Xenopus tropicalis: one gene and its partners. The protein of the gene in region 1 interacts with the protein of each later gene in a pairwise test. Links are inferred from orthologs where the notes say so. Each region holds a gene or a part of one and is shown in the gene's direction. Other genes may lie near its edges.

Evidence for each region.
Region 2: the proteins of tnik (region 1) and clu interact in a two-hybrid assay, tested with the Homo sapiens proteins (2 studies listed by BioGRID and IntAct). The link is inferred for Xenopus tropicalis from reciprocal best matches to the Homo sapiens genes TNIK and CLU.
Region 3: the proteins of tnik (region 1) and pafah1b1 interact in a two-hybrid assay, tested with the Homo sapiens proteins (2 studies listed by BioGRID and IntAct). The link is inferred for Xenopus tropicalis from reciprocal best matches to the Homo sapiens genes TNIK and PAFAH1B1.
Region 4: the proteins of tnik (region 1) and akap9 interact in a two-hybrid assay, tested with the Homo sapiens proteins (2 studies listed by BioGRID and IntAct). The link is inferred for Xenopus tropicalis from reciprocal best matches to the Homo sapiens genes TNIK and AKAP9.

The regions. Positions count from the first base shown.
Region 1 is NC_030681.2:111,486,791-111,492,622, forward strand, and holds the start of tnik (TRAF2 and NCK-interacting protein kinase), read left to right. Parts: upstream 1-2,542; 5' UTR 2,543-3,029; coding exon 3,030-3,086; intron 3,087-5,832. UniProt on the Homo sapiens protein: Serine/threonine kinase that acts as an essential activator of the Wnt signaling pathway. Recruited to promoters of Wnt target genes and required to activate their expression. May act by phosphorylating TCF4/TCF7L2.
Region 2 is NC_030681.2:159,885,546-159,890,575, reverse strand, and holds the end of clu (clusterin), read left to right. Parts: intron 1-1,194; coding exon 1,195-1,365; intron 1,366-2,030; coding exon 2,031-2,445; intron 2,446-2,843; coding exon 2,844-2,957; intron 2,958-3,331; coding exon 3,332-3,561; intron 3,562-4,006; coding exon 4,007-4,081; 3' UTR 4,082-4,098; downstream 4,099-5,030.
Region 3 is NC_030678.2:47,815,432-47,821,093, forward strand, and holds the start of pafah1b1 (lissencephaly-1 homolog), read left to right. Parts: upstream 1-2,264; 5' UTR 2,265-2,550; intron 2,551-5,662. UniProt on the Homo sapiens protein: Regulatory subunit (beta subunit) of the cytosolic type I platelet-activating factor (PAF) acetylhydrolase (PAF-AH (I)), an enzyme that catalyzes the hydrolyze of the acetyl group at the sn-2 position of PAF and its analogs and participates in PAF inactivation.
Region 4 is NC_030682.2:31,454,626-31,460,207, forward strand, and holds the start of akap9 (A-kinase anchor protein 9), read left to right. Parts: upstream 1-1,988; 5' UTR 1,989-2,142; coding exon 2,143-2,196; intron 2,197-5,582. UniProt on the Homo sapiens protein: Scaffolding protein that assembles several protein kinases and phosphatases on the centrosome and Golgi apparatus. Required to maintain the integrity of the Golgi apparatus. Required for microtubule nucleation at the cis-side of the Golgi apparatus.

The DNA.
Region 1 (5,832 bases):
GACAAGTAGCAATGCAGGGTTATACTCACAATGTAGATACAGATGTTAAATGATAGTAGTACTCTGAGGACAACAAGAGAGGATGCACACCGGTTTATCCCACCTCCTTTTAGAGTCTGGGCAGGGTAAATGCACTTGGTCAGATTGACACCCCTTTGGAAGCAGTCAGGATAGATACCTCAGTCCTCAGGTTGATAGCCCCTAGCTTTAAGAGTCCCTAGCTTTAAGAGTCCTACAGCTGACTCTGGATCAGGGTTTAAGTACTGCCTGTCATCTATGTCTTAACCGTGGCCCTATGCTTTGGCAACATTGCCTGTATGGAGGGATACTTCCAGCTACTTTCCTTGGTGGAGCTGAAACTGTGCTTGCTTCCATCCCTCTCTATCTCACTCTCCTAGAGAATGCTCTTAAAAGAGTAACTATCTAACTGGTCCTTGTGCACGGGGTCCCTGTCCCCGACTTCTCTAGAGTATAAGATGGTAACCCTAGGGCAATAAGACTTTACTGGGGCCTTGTTCTGATCCCAGGCTAGTGACCTGTTCCTGAGACACAGAGGAAGCCACACACTCCTGCTAAGCACTATTTTGGAGTGCAAGGGGTGTGATCAACCAAATAAAGCAATAAGGTATAATAGCAAAGGATAAACTAGATACATGGGTCTTTTCCCAGTAACAGCATAAACTAAGGAAGTAGTAGGGTTTAAAGCAATAGGGGCAGATTAACCCTATGGGTCCCTACAAGTGCTTTTGATGGGTGAGGATAAGTAGATAGATTACTGTATGAGAACTAGGGGGCCTCACAGTGGCTTACAGCTGTGGCACTGAATGATAGAGGTTTGGGCAATGGGCAAACTGCAGTAAGCAGATACTACACAAATATCTTGTTCTTCGGGTGCTGCAAATTAACATACTCTTGCTCTGTATTTCCACATGCTTTATTGGTTTCTTCTTCTCAAAATACTTACATATAAGCCCTATATGCATGTTCTCTGGTTCTAAGCCTATCTATGACCCTAACTACATACAAACATGCTGGGACCTACTCTCATAGCACTAAATCTTCTGTAGCTCCTAACAGTCCAGCTCCTGCATGCTTCATATGTAACTCCGCCTAGACCAGTGATCCCCAACCAGTGGCTGGTGAGCAACATGATTCTCACCAACCCCTTGGATGTTGCTCTCAGTGCCTGCAAACCAGGTAGTTATTTTTGAATTTCTGACTTGGCAAGTTTAGGTTGAATAAAAAAAGATTTACTACCAAATAAAGCCCCCTGTAACTGATAGTGTGCATAGAGACTACCTAATAGCCAATCTTGGCCTTTATTTTGTCTTCTTACATTTGACTGTGGCTCACGAGTAAGAAAGGTTGGGGAGCCCTGCACTAGACACTCAATCAGCACTAACTCACTATAGCCTTTTTGGAGTCTTTATTTTGCCCTATTCAGCTTGCTGCTTTCTGACTGGCTTATCCCAACAAATACTATTTTTGGATTCTAAGCTAATATACTCCTAACAGCATACTTTGATACTAGTTTTTCAAATGCTCTGCATGGTTCCCTATTCCACCATTTGTTAATTACAGCTCAACTAAATTTTCCCAGTATGCCCTATTTAGGGCCATGGCAGACGGGGAGATTAGTTGGCCGCGACAAATCTCCTCGAAATACCAACCCAACGGCAAGAATGTAAATCGCCGGTGGGATCACATACGCAGCACGGGGTTTCGGGGCCGCGTATGCGATTTACATTCTCGCTGGTGGGATGGCATTTCGGGGAGATTAGTCGCCCGCGACAAGGGAGATTTGTCGCGGGTGACTAATCTCCCCGTCTGCCACGGTTTAGAGCTGTGACACACTGGGAGATTAGTCGCGTCTGGAATGCCATCCCACCGACTAGAATGTAAATCGCCGGTGGGATGGCATACACGGCGCCGCAATTTGCTGAAGTTTCCTCTCAAGGAAACTTCGGCAAACCGCGGAGCTGCGCATGCCATCCCACCGGCGATTTACATTCTAGGATGACATTCGACCAATCTCCCCGTGTGTCATGGCCCTTAGGGTTTCTCCAAGGCAAGTTATATTGTTCTATCCCTGCCTGCCATCCTTACCACTGCTAGGCTGATCTTTTATATTGTTATAGGCCAGCATGCCTTGCCCAGGGTTTCTGGGCTACTCTCCATATTGCCCAGCCCCCCCCCCCCCATGCCATTCTTACAGCTCCTTTGCGCCTACATATACCGGCCAATCCCAGAATGCCCTGCTTATAACCAGCTACTCTTCATATTGCCTTTCCATCCAGATCTGGTGACCTAGTACCGAGATTAAGGTTTGTTCCTTTTCCCACTGCATTGTACCGTCCTCCGGAATACGCTGGCGCTATATAAATAATAATACTCCAAGTACTGCAATACCTTACTGCTAGCTACCTGCTCTATACCGGACACACAGCTCCCCCACCCCCCAGGCAAGGCTGTTTAGCTATATGCACCTGCTGCAGTATAAGGAGCCCCTCTCACACAGCGCTCCCACACGCTCTATAAGATAGCGCTCCCACACGCTCTATAAGATAGCGCTCCCACACGCTCTATAAGATAGCGCTCCCACACGCTCTATAAGATAGCGCTCCCACACGCTCTATAAGATAGCGCTCCCACACGCTCTATAAGATAACGCTCCTCGACCGTGAGAGGAAAAGGCGGCGCTGGGCAGCACCATCTCTCCGGACGGATCCACCTAGTTTGGCGTGTGGCTCCTCCCAGGAAGCAGTGACAGGCTTGTTTCAGCAGCTCCTCTCCATCCCTCCGCTCTGTGAGTGTGAGAGTGTCTTATTATTCCTCTCAATGCAGCTGCCATACAGGCAGAGCCCAAGCATGTCCTACTGCAAGCCGCCCCCGCCTCCTCTCTCATAGCACCGCAAGCCGCACACCTTCTGGGCTCGGGCGGGACCGCCGCATGCTGGGCTCGGCTCTGGGAGAAGCAGCAAGGTGGGAAGAACGGGGAGCTCTGTGCAATATACAAGAGAAAAGGAAACATGGCGAGCGACTCCCCGGCTCGTAGCTTGGATGAGATAGATCTGTCGGCGCTGAGGGTGAGTGATGTCTCTGGGGGGTTATTGTGGGAAGCTGCTGCTGCTGCTGCGGGGGATCCGGGCTGATAGGCTCTTTATTGTGCCAGTCCTAGGGGCGAGATGGAGAGCTGTCTATTCAGCCCGCACTGTGCTGCTCACTGATATGTGATTATTATACACAATAATGCTCATTCATCTGGTTTGCTGCTGTCAGTGCTCTCCTATTGTGAATGGAATAGCCATAGCAGAACAGTGTGTGAATAACAGGCACAAAGCCACTCATCATTATATCGCATTTGGTGAGCCACTTACACATAAAGATGTACATAGAAACCGAGTATATTCAGCCTAAAACGCAATATTAGCATTATGCATTCATGTGATCATCTCAGGAGTGGGGCGGACTATTAACAAGTAGGGGAAGGGGTCAATTTCTATGTATATCTGCTGAATGTGCACATAGAGGCTGTTGGGCAAATCAATTCATTGCTGTATTGAATGGTCGATGGCTAAACATCACAGCAATGCTTGCCTACCGCTGCGCTGCCTTCATTTCCCATTATCAGTGTCTGCTTTTGCCTCAGTCAGTACAGTGCAATAGGCTGTGGGGGATGCTGGAAGTTGTAGTTCAGCCGGCACTGGAGGGCCCCAGGTACATCACTGCTACAAGGCACATCAGGGTTTCTCATTGCTTCATGTCTTTATATAATGCCATTCTTCTGTTTTGTATGTATGCTATTAAATTTTGAAAGACACCGCCATGTATAAAGGCCACACTGACAAAGGCCACATTGTTGTGGGGAGCAATTTAGTATTCTCATTGGTGATTTATATGGAAGATTGGATTTAGCCTAGAGATCCAGTGCAAAAGGAGAGAATGCTCTTTGAATTCTACCACCAATCAAGCCCTTCTTGCAGTAGAGTTCCTAAGACAATAAGGTTGATGGCATAGTAACCGGACAATTCTCAGGTCAATAGGCTACTTTAATAATGGTAGATAATCGTAGATTTTTGTCGCTGCTATGTGCCAACTCTTACATTGGGAGCATATTTGGTTTAAATTGACTCCTTCCTCATTCCACTGTTTGTTGAGGAGCTATCTGTTTTCATTATCCACTGTACAACATACCAGCCATTGTTAGTTAAAGGGTGCCATGTTCGCTTTGGAAAAAGCATGTATATATACAAGTGGAATGCACGTAAGATAGCAGCAGTTTCTGGTCTGCAGGCACTTGCAACTCAGGCTTCCTAAAATGACCTGTGCTAATGAGGGCTGTGCTGTGCTAGCTGTCATGTTCACATGGTGTCTGTAAGAAACAGCATTCTTTGTATGGCTGGATGTGCTAGACTATTGTACAGTCAGCGAGATTAAGGATGGACATGGCTCGTAGGGCTGTTTAAATTGAGAGTCTTATGTCTGCTTCAGTGCTCGTGCTTGCTGGTTTTATCTCAAGCCTAAACAGAAATATAAAGTCAGTGGACCCATCATATCATTTGAATTAAACATATCTTTCTTAAATAATATCCTGCTTGTGTATCTGACTCTGCAAGTTTAAATAAATCCTTCAGGCTTTAGATGGATGCAATCTCTATTATGTTTTCAAGCTGTTTGTATTATGAATGTATGGGGCAAATCCACAAAGCATTAACCCTTTTATGTCTAAGGCAGCACGCCTTATGCTGTAGTTGTTTCAATCCAATTTTTGCTATTCTTAGAGGAAAACAATTTATGATCGTAGTGGAAGGTCAGAAACCATATTGATGGTATGAAGGTTTCCCAGTCATTTCACAGTGCCTGGATGGGGAATCAATAGTGCATTGGCTGCCTGAGTGGAAAGGATAGCAGCGCTTAGAGGTTTTTCTGGATTGCCATTAGTTCTTTTCCCTGCTGGCTTACCTTGAGATTCCTGTCAAGGGTCAAGTCTGTTGCAGAAACAACCTTGGGCACTGGACCTGTCCAAACAGAGCCTGACGAGGACAGCTTGTTTTATTTCTGCAGCGGGCCTGTCAAATGTTTGATGCTGTGAAGGCAGCCAAGGGCTCCAGAGTCACACACTCCCTTCAACTGCTTTTTAGCCACAATTTGCCACCCTTTATTGGACATAGCTGAATTTATGATGGTTCTCTTAAACATATTATTAAGGTATATTTTAGTATTTTATGCAATCCTTAATTTGGATTTAAATGAGCAATGTGCTGTTCTTGGCATTCAACAAAAAGCCAGCAGGTAGCATTCTGTATTATTTCACCCAGCACATATTGTGCTATTTAGCATTTCAAATCAATGCTTTGAAATCACAGGCTTGATTGAGGACTGTTAACCCATTTGCCACCAAAAAGGGCTGCTTGTGTCTTATAAGGAAAATTCAATTTCAGCAGAAGAAATTTGTTATACAGTATATACTATCAGTTTTGTCATGATGTTAAAACAATATATTTTGTCCCTGTTAGCTTGCGGTTGTGCCCTACTTTCAGTGTAAGCAATGCATATTTCCACAACGCCATTGAAGCTTGTTTTCCATTTATTTTGTGTGTGTGTATTCAACAGCTACTGTTGTTCATTTAGTCTAGTTGTTTATAAGTAGGCAAGGCAACTTCTGATTATAGAATTTGGGGGGTGACATTGTCAGTGTTTTATAAGACAGTCATTTAGGGTGATTATATGATCATACACTCCATATCTATCATAAGTTATGCAGTACAGGTATAGGACCCATTATCCAAAATGCTCGGGACCAAGGGTATTCCGGATAAGGGGTCTTTCTGT
Region 2 (5,030 bases), about 48 Mb from region 1:
ACCTAGAATCATCCAGACCGTAGAATTATCCAGTCTCTTAAATTTTGAGGTCCATGGAATTATCCAATGCCTAGAATCAATAAAACTAGCCCTTACCTAGAATTATCTAACCAATAGAATCATCCAATCCGTAGAATCATTCAGTAAATAGGATTATCCAACCCCTAAAATTATCTAGTCCATGGAATGATCCAATCCATAGAATTATCTAACCCCTAGATCATCCATTCCATAGAATTATCAGTCTATATCTATCTATCTATCTATCTATCATCTATCTATCTATCTATCTATCTTTTATCTATCTATCTATTATCTATCTATCATCTATCTATCTATCTATCTATCTATCTATCTATTATCTATCTATCTATCTATTATCTATCTATCTATCTATCATCTATCTATCTATCTATCTATCATCTATCTCTATCTATCTATCTATCTATCATCTATCTATCTATCTATCTATCATCTATCTATCTATCTATCTATTATCTAACTATCATCTATCTATCTATCTATCTATCTATCTATCTATCATATATCTCTATCTATCTATCTATCTATCTATCTATCTATCTATCTATCTATCTATCATCTATCTATCTATCTATCTATCATCTATCTATCTATCTATCTATCTATCTATCTATTATCTAACTATCATCTATCTATCTATCTATCTATCTATCTATCTATCTATCATATATCTCTATCTATCTATCTATCTATCTATCATCTATCTATCTATCTATCTATCTATCTATCTATCTATCATCTATCTATCTATCTATCTATCATCTATCTATCTATCTATCTATCTATCTATCTATCTATCTATCTATCTATCTATCATTTATCTCTATCTATCTATCTATCTATCTATCTATCTATCTATCTATCTATCTATCCATCCAATCCCTAGAATAAGCAAGAGACAAAGAGAACATGTATCAACCCCACAAAACCCCTTGCTACATACAGAGGAACATAGTTCCACTACTCCAATGCTTTTATCTTTGTGGACCTTTCAGACACATCTGACACATCTTAAAACGATCCATTATATCTACCAGTAGAAGCACCTTCAGAAGATAGTCTCACAATGATGTAGTTCTACAATAGTTCTAGAATGTACAGTTTCTGGGCAGTTTCTGACTGAAACCCATTTGATCCCGTTGGTTCCGGCAGGAAGCCCTAAAGAGAGCCCTAGACACGGAGCAGCAGCTTGCGGAGAAGAAGGAGGTGTGTAACGAGACCATGTTGGCCCTCTGGGAGGAGTGCAAGCCCTGCCTGAAACAGACCTGTGTGAGGTTCTACTCCAAAACCTGCCGGAGCGGCTCTGGCCTGGTGGGGCGCCAGGTAAGTCTGACACCTGTCTGTAGTCTGTCCGAATGCGTTGCTATTGGGTGGTACCACCAGGGAACCTTCAACTCACTGTTCTTTCCTGGTCCACCATAAGGGGGTCTATCTTCTCTCCTGGTCCACCATAAGGGGGCCTGTCTTCTCTCCTGCTCCACCATGAGGGAGTCTGTCTTCTCTCCTGGTCCACCATAAGGTGGGCCTGTCTTCTCTCCTGGTCCACCATAAGGTGGGCCTGTCTTCTCTCCTGGTCCACCATAAGGTGGGCCTGTCTTCTTTCCTGATCCATCATAAGTGGTCTTTAGGGTCCTTAGAAGTAAGATGCCCTAATGTTCAGCATGTAGGAAGGCCATAAGACAATAAATGGAGCCCACAGCTCTATTATTGGACAGGAGGACACCCCCCTGTGATTGGGAATAATACCTAGCTAAGAACTTCTTGTAGTGGCCCTCAGGAAGACAAGAAAGCCATGGTGGAGGCAGATAAGTGAGGCCAGCTGGTTGGGTGGAGTAGAGAGCTCACTGGACCACCAGGTATCTCCTGGTAAGGTAAGGAGACCAGAGCCTTGGATGCAAGGGTGCTGCTAGAGGTTGTGTTGTACCATCAGCTGGGGGACCACCCAGGCCTATAACTCGCTCATTCCACATTTCTCTTTCCTGTTGCAGTTTGAGGAATTCCTGAACCAATCTTCTCCATTCTCCATTTTAATCAATGGACAGCAGATCAACTCGCTGACCCAGGAGGGAGAGCAGCAGTCTATGACCCTGGATGACCTTGAGGGGGGCTACAGTCTGGTGGAGGACAGTGTCGATGAGCTCTTCAGGGAAAGCATCAAAGCCTTTGGGCAAATGAAGCCGTTCTTCAGTAATTCCTTCCATAGTGACTTCTTTGGGTCTCAGTGGAACCCATTTCCCTTCCAGCGAGTCGGGTTCCCATTTGCTGAGTCTCGGCGGGCAAGGTCTCCCTCGTTCCACCCCTATTTCTCTGGGGACTTCGAGTCCCTCTTAGAGGCTGCACAGAAAATGATGGAAAGAAGTCACCACTTTGCCCCAAGGCTGGAAGGACTGGGCTCCATAAGGGGTAAGTATTATACTGTGTGCCATCTCCCAGGGTTCCCCAATGTATCACTCATTCCCCCTCTCTGGGTAGGGAACCCCATAACCTGACTGCCCTTACAGTAAGGAACCCCTTCCTATGCTGATAGTGAGATCCCCTTTCCTCCCCACCCCCAATGTATCACTCATTCCCCCTCTCTGGGTAGGGAACCCCATAACCTGACTGCCCTTACAGTAAGGAACCCCTTCCTATGCTGCTGGTGACATCCCCTTTCCTCCCCCCCCCCCAATGTATCACTCATTCCCCCTCTCTTGGTAGGGAACCCCATAACCTGACTGCCCTTACAGTAAGGAACCCCTTCCTATGCTGATGGTGAGATCTCCTTTCCTCCCCACCCCCAATGAATGTTGTTTCCTATGTAGGAAATGGCGATGAATCCGATGACAAACTGGTCTGTAAGGAGTTGCGTCGCAATTCAGCCGGCTGTTTAAAGATGCAGGAAAAGTGTGAGAAATGCAAGGAGATTTTAGCATTAGGTAAGTAGGTTACATTGTAGATAAGTACTGACAAGTACATTCATGAATGCTCTTATTTGTGGAAATGCATTGAGCCCCAGAAATAGATGAACGGACCTGCTGCAATACCGCATTCTGCCAGCAGATGGCCAAGGCCAAGGCATTTATTTTTTGCCAGTGTTGCCCACTATTTCCCTTATAGTATAATTGTAATAATGATGTCATGTGTAGCAGCCTGATGATGTCATGGGCATGGCGGGGGGTCCATACACATCTCTGGGGGCCACACCGGGGCCTTGAGACACTCATTCAAAAACATGTTTCTTAATTTAATGAAATCTATGAAGTTTTTTACTTTCCGTTTGATCACATGGGGCTCATTATCTGGATGTTAGATTGTTCCGGGAAGGATCCGGTGCAGGAGCAGCTGCAGGAGGTGTTTCAGGACTCCCTGCGCCTCGCCGAGAGGTTCACCAGGGAGTACGACGACCTCTTGGAACAGTTCCGGGAGAAGATGCTCAACACCACCGGTATCTTGGAGCAGCTGAACAAGCAGTTTGGGTGGCTTTCCAAATTCACCAACATGACCCAGGGCAGAAAGAATGGGATCTTCCAAGTTTCCACTGTAAGTGGTGCATTGTGTTATTCCTCCAATGGCCGGGGTGTGGTGGCTTCCTGGTACCAAGGACCTTCTGGGCACCTTGGCAAGTTCAACAGAGACATTTTGAATGTGGCTAAAGGTTCTCTCTCAGGGCCACAAAGCCAGAGGTCCTAGAGTTACTTGGGATTTGAGCCCTACTTCCTGTATATCAGGTAACTGTAATGGACCCAATGGGCTCACTGGGCAGAACCATTTTCCTAAATCAAGTGCATCACCACTGAGCAGTTGTGGGCCCAAACTGAGCAATGTTCATTTAATGCCCTGATCTTAATACGTGTAGAAAGTCCCACCATGAGCATTAGGTTGGTGGCTTGATGCCCCTTTGGAGACCTTCAGAAAGCCAACACTGTGTCCCGTCTCTTGCCTTCTGCCCCTTTCCACTCATTCCTTACTTCTCTGTGTTCATTAGATCTATTCCAAGGAAGGGGAGTCTCCTTCCGATACCAAAGTGACCATCAACGTCTTTGACTCTGACCCAAACTGAGCAATGTTCATTTAATGCCCTGATCTTAATACGTGTAGAAAGTCCCACCATGAGCATTAGGTTAAGGGCTTGATGCCCCTTCGGAGACCTTCTACACTATGGCCCGTCTCTTGCCTTCTGCCCCTTTCCACTCATTCCTTACGTCTCTATGTTCATTAGATCTATTCCAAGGAAGGAGAGTCTCCTTCCGACACCAAAGTGACCGTCAACGTCTTCGACTCCGACCCAATAACCTTCGCTTTGCCCGGATACATCTCCATGGATGACCCGAAGTTTGGGGAACTGGTGGCCGAGGAAGCGCTTAAGAGGTTTAAAGCGGAAGCTGTGTAAGTCTTGGCCGATACTTACCTGTAAGCCTGACATGGCAGTGGGCGGCAGTTAGAGGGGCTATTATATCTCAAGGGAAAGTTAAGCAGTAAGGGTCATTGGCCATTGATGAATACTAGCACAGCCAGCCATGTTTTCCATCAGGAAACCAATCAGGGCAGGCAGTTTGCATCCTGGTGGAAATTAAGATGAGAGTAAGTGGGGGTCTCCCATGGGCACCTATACAGTACAGACCTACAGTACATTGTTTGGGGGGTATAGTTTGCCTTTAAATGCTATTAGCAAAGGTTCTCTCACCCATAAACACTACCTGAACCTTGCACTGAGTGCCACCCAGTTAACCTGTTGATGTTAACCTGGTGGTCCTGTTACTCATACCCTACCTGTACATGGAAACTTATTGCCCCCCCGTTACTCTTTGCAGTGAGGCTGCCTGACCCGACACCGGTGGGATTTGCTTCGGCCCCATCGGCGGCTTCTTCCTGCCACTTCCGTAGAACAGGTCCGCGACCCCTATGGCAACGCCCCCGAGCAATAGGCAAAGCGTATTGATACCTCCGCTACCTCCTGACGCCAGAGCCCGATACTCTTCATACTGTTCCGTTACTACTGTTACTGCCAC
Region 3 (5,662 bases), on another chromosome or scaffold:
TACAGAATACTGACTCTCTCACACACATACAGAGTACTGACTCTCACACACACATACAGAGTACTGACTCTCTCACACACATACAGAGTACTGACTCTCTCACACACATACAGAGAACTGACTCTCTCACACACATACAGAGTACTGACTCTCTCACACACATACAGAGTACTGACTCTCTCACACACACACACACATACAGAATACTGACTCTCTCACACACATACAGAATACTGACTCTCTCTCACACACATACAGAATACTGACTCTCTCACACACACATACAGAATACTGACTCTCTCACACACATACAGAGTACTGACGCTCTCACAGAGTACTGATTCTCTCACACACATACAGAGTACTGACTCTCACGCACACACATACAGAGTACTGACTCTCACGCACACACATACAGAGTACTGACTCTCTCACATACAGAGTACTGACTCTCTCACATACAGAGTACTGACTCTCTCACATACAGAGTACTGACTCTCTCACACACACATACAGAGTACTGACTCTCTCACATACAGAGTACTGACTCTCTCACACACACATACAGAGTACTGACTCTCACGCACACACATACAGAGTACTGACTCTCTCACATACAGAGTACTGACTCTCTCACATACAGAGTACTGACTCTCACGCATACAGAGTACTGACTCTCACGCACACACATACAGAGTACTGACTCTCACACATACAGAGTACTGACTCTCTCACACACACATACAGAGTACTGACTCTCTCACACACACATACAGAGTACTGACTCTCTCACATACACATACAGAGTACTGACTCTCTCACACACATAGAGTACTGACTCTCTCACACACATAGAGTACTGACTCTCTCACACACACACAGAGTACTGACTCTCTCACACACATACAGAGTACTGACTCTCTCACACACATACAGAGTACTGACTCTCTCACACACATACAGAGTACTGACTCTCTCACACACATACAGAGTACTGACTCTCTCACACACATACAGAGTACTGACTCTCTCACACACATAGAGTACTGACTCTCTCACACACATAGAGTACTGACTCTCTCACACACATAGAGTACTGACTCTCTCACACACACACAGAGTACTGACTCTCTCACACACATACAGAGTACTGACTCTCTCACACACATACAGAGTACTGACTCTCTCACACACATACAGAGTACTGACTCCCAACCTCTCACACACATACAGAGTACTGACTCTCTCACACACATACAGAGTACTGACTCTCTCACACACACATACAGAGTACTGACTCTCTCACACACACATACAGAGTACTGACTCTCTCACACACACATACAGAGTACTGACTCTCTCACATACACATACAGAGTACTGACTCTCTCACATACAGAGTACTGACTCTCTCACACACATAGAGTACTGACTCTCTCACACACATAGAGTACTGACTCTCTCACACACACACAGAGTACTGACTCTCTCACACACATACAGAGTACTGACTCTCTCACACACATACAGAGTACTGACTCTCTCACACACATACAGAGTACTGACTCTCTCACACACATACAGAGTACTGACTCTCTCACATACAGAGTACTGACTCTCTCACACACATAGAGTACTGACTCTCTCACACACATAGAGTACTGACTCTCTCACACACACAGAGTACTGACTCTCTCACACACATACAGAGTACTGACTCTCTCACATACAGAGTACTGACTCTCTCACACACATACAGAGTACTGACTCTCTCACACGCATACAGAGTACTGACTCTCACACGCATACAGAGTACTGACTCTCTCACATACAGAGTACTGACTCTCTCACACACACATACAGAGTACTGACTCTCTCACACACACATACAGAGTACTGACTCTCACGCACACAGAGACAGCTGTCACACAGGGGAGCGCAGGAATTGCACAAACAAACTCTCCTTTCACGTGAACGCGAAGGGCAAGCATGCTCCCTCTTCCGTCATAATGGCGCCTGCGCTCTCCGCCTTCCCTGCGTCATTTGCCTTTGTCATCCCTCCCCATCTCTCCCCCTCCTCGTCCACGCCTAGGCAGCCGCCGCTAGGGCGCAGGCGCGGTTCCCGATTAAGCAAGCCCACTCCCCACAGCCGGCCGGTCGCTCCCTCCTCCTCCTCTCCTTCAGCGGTTGATATGACGTCACCGCGCTCCTGAGCTCCGTTTCGCTGACAGCACGGTGGCGGCGGCGGCTTCCCTGAGAGCCCCGGCGGAAACCACGGAGAAGAAAGGGAGGCACGGACCCTTAGAAAGGAATAGCTGCAGAGAAGACGGATTCAGTGCAATTTGACAGGAAACAACGTACATACAAGCGAGCCCCGCCGACCTCCACACCCAAGCTCTTTATTTTTATTTATTTGATTTCTTGTCACCTCGTCAGGCTCTAACTGGGAGCCTCATCCCCCGCCCTTCCAGAGACCTTGCCCAGGGGAGCTGCCCGGCGGCCATGAGAAGAAATCCTTCTCCCGCTGTGTGCTTGGGATAACCCTGCACGGTAAGTGCCCGGCTAGATCACCGGGCGGGAGAGAGGCGGGATGCAAGGCCTTGTCTGACGATGTGGCTGCTGCTGCTGCTGCCGCCGCCTCCTCCCCTCCCTCCTTCATCTTCTCCTCTCTCTCACTTTCTCAAAATGGCGGCCAGCCGTTACTGTTCCTAGCCCGCAGGGGGGTGGAACAGGAAAGCTTTAGGCAAGGATCTCCTGCTTGCACCTTCCCAGCTGTTTCATGAGCTGCTTCCCCCAGTCTTCTGCTTGGAAGGCTTATAATAGGGGTGCTTGTGGGTGTTGTTTGTGGAGGGGTGGGGGTGCAGTTTGCCAGATCATCGCTTTAAACAAGACGCCTTAATGGTACATTACAGCAACATGCCTACTAATGCTGTAGCTTGGCTATAAAACCTGCACCTCCTGCTATTGCAGAACCATTTTTCCCAGCTGTCAAAGGATGGTGGGAGTTAGAGTTCAGCAGCAACTGGAGAACATAGGGTAGGGCGTCTTTGACATCACAATCAGTGAATCCTCAGACATGTATATGCTATAAGCATCAAGGGATGGTCTGGTACCCCCACTTGTTTAGAGCTGCAGGTTTGATGTCTGTTGTGCCCTTGATTAATGATTTACTAGCCCTTATTTATATGATTCTTTGCTGCAGTGATGTGTGTGTTTGTGGCCTACTAATTGTCGTTGAACTGCAACTTTCAGCCAGCTGTGCCTGGGGGGCACATGAATGTTTCTGTGGAAATGAATTTCAATTTCACTTCTGTGTCATAAATGCATAGTTTCAGTTAAAAGCATATAATGTGGATTCAGTTGATTCATTTGATAAGCCGTTTACTAATAAAAGGACTTTCACCTTAACGAGATAACTGCTGTGTATCAATTTAACTCGTGTGTGGCAGGGGCATTCCATGTTTGTACACGCCCGCCCCCGCACCTTTTCCAGTATTATGTTATTTTTAATTCTTCCTGCAACATCTTGCTAACGGGGATGTCTTCACCATCTGGACAAGGCTACATCTCTAAACAGCATTACATAAGGGCCTCTTCTTGTGCGGAACATCAAGAAAAACAGGGGGGTGGGCCTAGAAGTGACATTTGTCATCTTTTGTGTCATGCAAGTGCTGCCATTTAAGTCTTCTGACATATAACTTTTATAGTTGAGTGCTCACATCATGATAACATTCATTTACATTGTCATGCCCTGGTGTCTCCAAGGATAGGGATGATGGGTTAAGTCCATAAAGGGCTATGTGTATTATGCGATGCTGTATAGGTGTGTACATGTTGCAAGTCAGACACTTGAAAGGCTTGCAGCAAGAGTTGGGATTGACACATGGGAAATTATGATGGCTGAAACTAATGGTAATTACCTGCACTAGTCATCCGGATACAAATGTTTCATACTTATTTTGTAAAACATGGGTATCTTTTCTCCTAATGTTTTAGCAGATCAATAAGTCTGCTATAAATCTGACATCCATTCTCTCATTTGGTTTTCTAAAGGTGATAAGTGCTATTTTTCTTTAAATCCATGCTTTGTTATTTCTCTAGAAAAGCTGTTTTTTTTTTTTAAATCTCTGTCATGTGTGCCTATGTAAGGCATTCAGATTAACAAATGAACAATATATTGCTTACGCCAGGAATTTTAATCATGACTAGGCATTTGTAACCCTGTTTTATTTTATTTTTTTATGGGTTGCGTGTTCATCTTTGAGTGCTGTAAAACTGCCCTGTGTTTGCATGTTGCTGATGGTTCTTGTGCAATTTATCCTTAACCATTAGTATTCTGGAAGAGAAAACATAGTTTCTATATTTCTATCTCGATAATTAAAATATTTATAATATAGATGTGTGTGTTTAGATGCTTCCCAATGTGTTCAATTGGATAGAAGCGATTTTGTTGTTTGTCTGGTTTTTTTTTTTTTTTTTGGGCTCATAATAAAGGATACTGCGCACCGCCGTCAAACAGGGACAGAGAGGAAACTGGGTGGAGTAAGGAGGCAGAGGCGATGCTTTGGCTCTGCAGCTCTGCTAAAATAGTGTATTTGGCATCATTCAGGATTACACAGCTTCACAGTACCAAATTATGTGACTAAATCTGAGCAATTAAGAAACTGAAAATTTCTTTTAAACAAAGCTTTTGCTTTTTTTTTTCTTCTATACACTTGTTGAGGTTTTACTTTATATAATTAATACTATCAGACAATTGTTTTATATTTTATCTTGTTTATGTGGAGAATAAATATTTATTGTTTTATTTGTCTGGTGACAGTAAACTCTCCACAGTGTTTTAAAGGGATTCTAGCATCTCAGCCTGACTAAAATGTCACTATATAAACCTTAAGTTTTGGGTTGAATTTGAGCTATTTAGTAAAACAAAAAAACATTGTTTACTTCCATTTTCGTTATCAGTGGTGAAATGTTGCTTCCTGGATATCCAAATGCTTGGACTTTACAACAAAGGCTCTGTAAAACACCATATACCCACATTGTGACATTTAATTGCTGAGATATTTTTATTACTTCTGATTTCCTCTGCATCAATTGCTTGGTTAAAGGTATGTTGCCAGATTATCCGTGAACTTTTACAGTTCATTAAATGTTAGGATATTTTATATTAGTATATTAGTAATGGAATGCTCTGCATTGTTACTTTACATAGAAGGGTTAACATTTTGTATACACTAATACCCTATTTTCTACTTTTGCTTTACAGAAAGCTTTTTTTAAAATTTCTGTCCAGGAGTGACAAACCCTTTACCCAGTGGTTTTAATGTGGTTTATCCTTACTCTTTTGTTTTCTTTGTTTTTATTTTTTTAAATAAAGCTCATTCTTTGTCTTATGGAAAGCCACTCCTACAATGCAGTGCCTGATTAATGCTTTGAAAGTTGTTCTATCATTGCATCTTTAAAAAGTTATATTAAATATTATCTGTATAGTATAATAGTATAAATTGTTATCAAGCTGGTATCTCAATATTTTATTCAAATATAAATGTACTAATTGCTGTTAAGCAGCTATAGTATGTATTTGATTTTCATGGGCATTTAAACTTTTTTCTTGCTTTCGGCCATGTTACATGCATTCTGGTTTTGTTGACTAGCCCTGCAG
Region 4 (5,582 bases), on another chromosome or scaffold:
ACTGCTCATAACAATGGATTTCCTGAAGTGGTAATTTATAGTCAGCAGAACAGAGCAAATGTATATTACTTATCTCACAAACGGGATTTTGATGGTGTTATGGGCTAAAATATTCACAGTTTTCCGTGAAGGTTTTTTTTTTCTTTGTATACTATTAACCTGCAATCTGCATTCATTCATTTACTTGCAAATATATGTTTCATATTTAGTATGTCACGACAAAGAGGGCCTTAGGTGAAAAACAGCTTAAATAACATTGGACGGTGCTTGTGCTTTACAGTATCTTACCCCCAGTAACATATGGTGATCCAGGGTCTGAAGGTCAAAGGAACATGGAATGTAAAAAAAAACAAATTGTCCGCATATTTGCAAATACTGAGTCTGTGCAATGGCTGGCTAACATGCTTTAGTGGCTGTCTAAATACAGAAAACCCCTGATCTCTCACAGCATTAATAAAATATCAAAAATAAAATAAAATACATACCCACTGTTTACTTCCCACAGTTCAAAAACTTTCCCTGCAAACTCCCTGAATTCTATATAACAAAAGAACCAGTAGCACTTGAACACTTTGTAAATTGTTGGAGAGGTGTACTCTGCCTATTGGTGTTGTGGAACAACAACACTATACATTGGCACCAATAGGTCTTTGCACAACTATAAGGTTGATTAGCATTTTTTAAAATTTGCACTATAAGTTTGATTGAGGTGTGTTTACTAATCAGAATTGAGAAATTACTACACTACATATATATTTTTTTCTCTCTTTCTTTCTTTACCTCTTTTCTCTCTTCTTTCTTTGCTCTTTTTCTTCCCTTCCCTGCACATTTGCACCGGTTCACAGCATTAATAAGACTGCTACCATCCCCTCGATGTCTAAATACATTCGGTTTCTGTAACCCTTTTATTGAAAGTGATAAAGCTACCAACTGTAAACGGAACTTAAACACTGTTTTTCAGTAAAATGTATTCTCACTGTAAGCACACTGCCTCCAGTATCTGCATATTTGTATTTATACCCATGAGTAATTACTGCAATATTGCTTGTCAACAATAGCAACAGTAACCATAGTGGTCATACGCAGATCTCTTTTCTGTAGAGCTACTTCTGAGTTCAAGCCCATCACATATGGGATAATTCTTTATGTTTACCTTAATGGAACATAATATGAAGCCTCCTACAAACACTAGCTAAAAAATACGCTTTGATGCTATATACAAAGGTACTTGAACCCATAAACACTCCTTTGCATCTTGAAAAGAACACCAGTGTGCCCATTCAACCTGTTCTGACTCTGCACAAATGAACTGTACAAAATAATTCCAGGGTTCTCTTATAGGTTTTGTGAGCTAAATTACTATGAGCTAAAATTCCTCCTCATACAGCGATCACATATTGCTTTGTCAGAGGGGCCCACTGGGAGTTCTGGGAGTGCTCAAATAACTGGAATGTAAGAGGTGGGTAGAGACATCATCAATAAATACAGTTCAGATAGAGTAAGTACCGTTGCATTAAAGTAGTTCTGGTAAGAGTAATGGTACCTATATGATGCACCATATTCACAGCAGGGATTGGCCCTTGCTAAATGTTTTCAATGCAAAAACATTAGATGATTGGTTTGCATTGTAAACCAACAGCAATAACAGAGCATAAAGGTAAACTTGACAGATGTGTCTTTGTCTAACCTCAACTACTATATATCCAAAGTCATGCTATTGTTATAGTATACCATTTAAATTTTAGAGACAAAATAACTTTTTTAAGTAATAATTACAATTTAAAGAAAATATTACACTTAAATACCACGTTGTAAGAAAAGATTTCTCATTATAAGGACATGTGCTGGTTAAGTATAGCTCACATGCTAGATTGTCTTTGTTCTGTCTGTTTTGCACACAATGCCTTGGTGTGGGCAGTGCCCCTTTAAGTGTCTGGGAACTGCAGCAGCGCAACAGCAGCTGTCAACTCCTAGTTCTGCCACTGCTGCAATCGGTGCCGCCCCCACTGACTTCTCTCGCCGCTGCCGGGCGCTGGGGTGACGTCAGAGGAGTGCGCCGAATGTTTACGTGGAGATGGGAGAGAGCGGTAGGCGCTGTAGCTAACGCTGCGCATTGCTGTGTGTGTCTGTACAGGCGCAGGCATGGAGGAGGAGGACCAGGAGAGGAAGAGGAAGCTGGAGGCCGGCAAGGCTAAGGTAAGGGAATGTGGGGAGGCTTTGTGTCTGTGTGTGTGTCTCCCTCTGACAGCTGTCACTGGGGAAGGGGGGCTTCCATTGTTTGCATATTCCTGGCGTGCTGTGTCTGTGCGAGCTGTCCCGCCGCCCTGTTTGTCTGGGTGCCACCCTGCCATTCTGATGTGTCTATGTCACTGGCTCCATGTGTCACCTTCCAACCTCCTGTGTGTGTGTATGGCACCTTACAGCATTCTGTCCATGTGTCACCTTCCAACCTCCTGTGTGTGTGTATGGCACCTTACAGCATTCTGTCCATGTGTCACCTTCCAACCTCCTGTGTGTGTGTATGGCACCTTACAGCATTCTGTCCATGTGTCACCTTCCAACCTCCTGTGTGTGTGTATGGCACCTTACAGCATTCTGTCCATGTGTCACCATCCAACCTCCTGTGTGTGTGTATGGCACCTTACAGCATTCTGTCCATGTGTCACCTTCCAACCTCCTGTGTGTGTGTATGGCACCTTACAGCATTCTGTCCATGTGTCACCTTCCAACCTCCTGTGTGTGTGTATGGCACCTTGCAGCATTCTGTCCATGTGTCACCATCCAACCTCCTGTGTGTGTGTATGGCACCTTACAGCATTCTGTCCATGTGTCACCATCCAACCTCCTGTGTGTGTGTATGGCACCTTACAGCATTCTGTCCATGTGTCACCTTCCAACCTCCTGTGTGTGTGTATGGCACCTTACAGCATTCTGTCCATGTGTCACCTTCCAACCTCCTGTGTGTGTGTATGGCACCTTACAGCATTCTGTCCATGTGTCACCATCCAACCTCCTGTGTGTGTGTATGGCACCTTACAGCATTCTGTCCATGTGTCACCATCCAACCTCCTGTGTGTGTGTATGGCACCTTACAGCATTCTGTCCATGTGTCACCATCCAACCTCCTGTGTGTGTATGGCACCTTACAGCATTCTGTCCATGTGTCACCATCCAACCTCCTGTGTGTGTGCATGGCACCTTACAGCATTCTGTCCATGTGTCACTATCCAACCTCCTGTGTGTGTATGGCACCTTACAGCATTCTGTCCATGTGTCACCATCCAACCTCCTGTGTGTGTGTATGGCACCTTACAGCATTCTGTCCATGTGTCACCTTCCAACCTCCTGTGTGTGTGTATGGCACCTTACAGCATTCTGTCCATGTGTCACTATCCAACCTCCTTTGTGTGTGTATGGCACCTTACAGCATTCTGTCCTTGTGTCACCATCCAACCTCCTGTGTGTGTGTATGGCACCTTACAGCATTCTGTCCATGTGTCACCATCCAACCGCCTGTGTGTGTATGGCACCTTACAGCATTCTGTCCATGTGTCACCATCCAACCTCCTGTGTGTGCATGGCACCTTACAGCATTCTGTCCATGTGTCACTATGCCTTGCCATTAGCCACATTGTGCACATGTCACCCAAACATTCTACCTATGAGCCACCTTGTGCATGTATCACTCTATGTACCCTGGGGCCTTGTACCATTCCCTTCACTTGTGCATGTCTCTGTGCATCATTGTGGTACTTGCTTCACATCACTTTGCTGCTTGGTGCAACTGGTTTCTTGTGTCTCTGTGTGCTTTTGGTGTGTCTGGATCCTGTTTGCCTATTATGTTAAGTGCAGTGTATGTTTCACTTTGTGGTATTATATGTTTGTGTGCAGCTTCTGTGTCAGTATGTGCACAAAATGATACACATTCAGTGGAATACTTAATAGTTTTTAAACCCTCAACTATACAAATTGACTTCTATTTAGAATGTGTATCGTGCTTAAATCACTTTTTTTATCGGTGTTAATTTTACATGTATACCATGGGTAAGTGTTGTAGGGTGCGTAATTGTGTATCTGTTGAAGAGAAATACTTAAAAATAAACACACATTTATACCCACATATATGCCAAATGGCAGGTACATAGAATGTATGTGTACTTAAATAACTTTTTTCATTGGTGTAAGGTTTTTTGCATGCCATGGATTAGTGTTGTAGTGTGTGCATACAGAATATAGGTGCGAGTGTATGTACTTGTGTGTCTGTTTTCTTCCTATTTAGGTATACTTTTAATCAAGACACATTTATACCCACAACTGTATAAAATGGCTTGTATTTGGAAAGTGTATTTTGCTTAAATCACTTTTTCCATTGGTGTCAATTTCACATGTATACCATGGGTTACTGTTGTAGTGTTTGCATTCTGAATATAAATATGTGTATTTTTTCTTGCTGCAGAGCAACACATACCCACAGCTGTATAAAATAGTATATATTTTTGCATTGTGCATAAAGCACCCATGTCTATGCCAGGAGTTAGTGTGTGTGTGTGTGTGCCCATAAACAGTGCATGTTATTGCATGTCAGTGTAACAATAAATTATGCTCCCATATTTACCGTTTACTGCTTTCTGTGCTTCTTGGGTTAAATGCCTGTTTTTATTCGCTGAAAGTGTTGTGTATTCAGTGCAGCTACTTTGTAACACTGTATAGTTGTGCATATTTGCTAAAAGGACAATGTGTATGTGTTTTACGAAAGCATAAATCGTATATAGCCCTTCTCCTTTTTTATATTCATGTTCACTGTTAAACTCATGAATCTCTGAACAGGTGTAAGCATGTGTTGGTGCCTTTTTGGCTCTTTGTGGGACAGCTGCAGCACAGGGACGGCTGCTTAGATTTCAGCAGGATTAACATGTAACACTTTTCCAACATTGCTGAGTGCTCTTATTCACTATATGTAGAAGTCTGCCTACTTCTTTGTCTTTATTGATTGCTAATGTCTGTTTTTGCTGATCTGTCATTCTTTTGGATAAATTGAATTTGTTAGATTTTCTGAAAGTTTATGTCACTGAACTTTTCTAAAAACTGAATTACAAACTGCCTGCTTTCATTGCAATCATCTGTTTAGTGTAATTTACACCTTGTGTTCTAGCTAAGACTTATTTTAGCTTTTTTGATAGGAAAAAAACAGCTGATATTTTTTTGTAAACAATTCCAATTAAGGTCTAAAATCATTTAAAGGGGAACTCCACCCAAACACAATGTAAGGTTTATGAAAAGTAAACATAATTTCAAGCAACTTTGCAATATACATTATTATTATGCTGCCTTTTCTTAAATTTAATGTAATAATATGGATGACTACTTTGAGACTCAAATAAAATGTAACAGTAGTCTACTGTCTTTAGCCTGCCTTCTGCCTACATCCTCCTAATACCACAATCCCCTAAACACATGATGTCAATAAGGAAAGGGACATCACAGTGCAATGCATTGTGGGCTATGTAGTTAATGCATGCTGTCTGTAAACTGGAGAACTGTTTTACAGCTGGATTTCAGCATATAAATATAATAGGTGTATT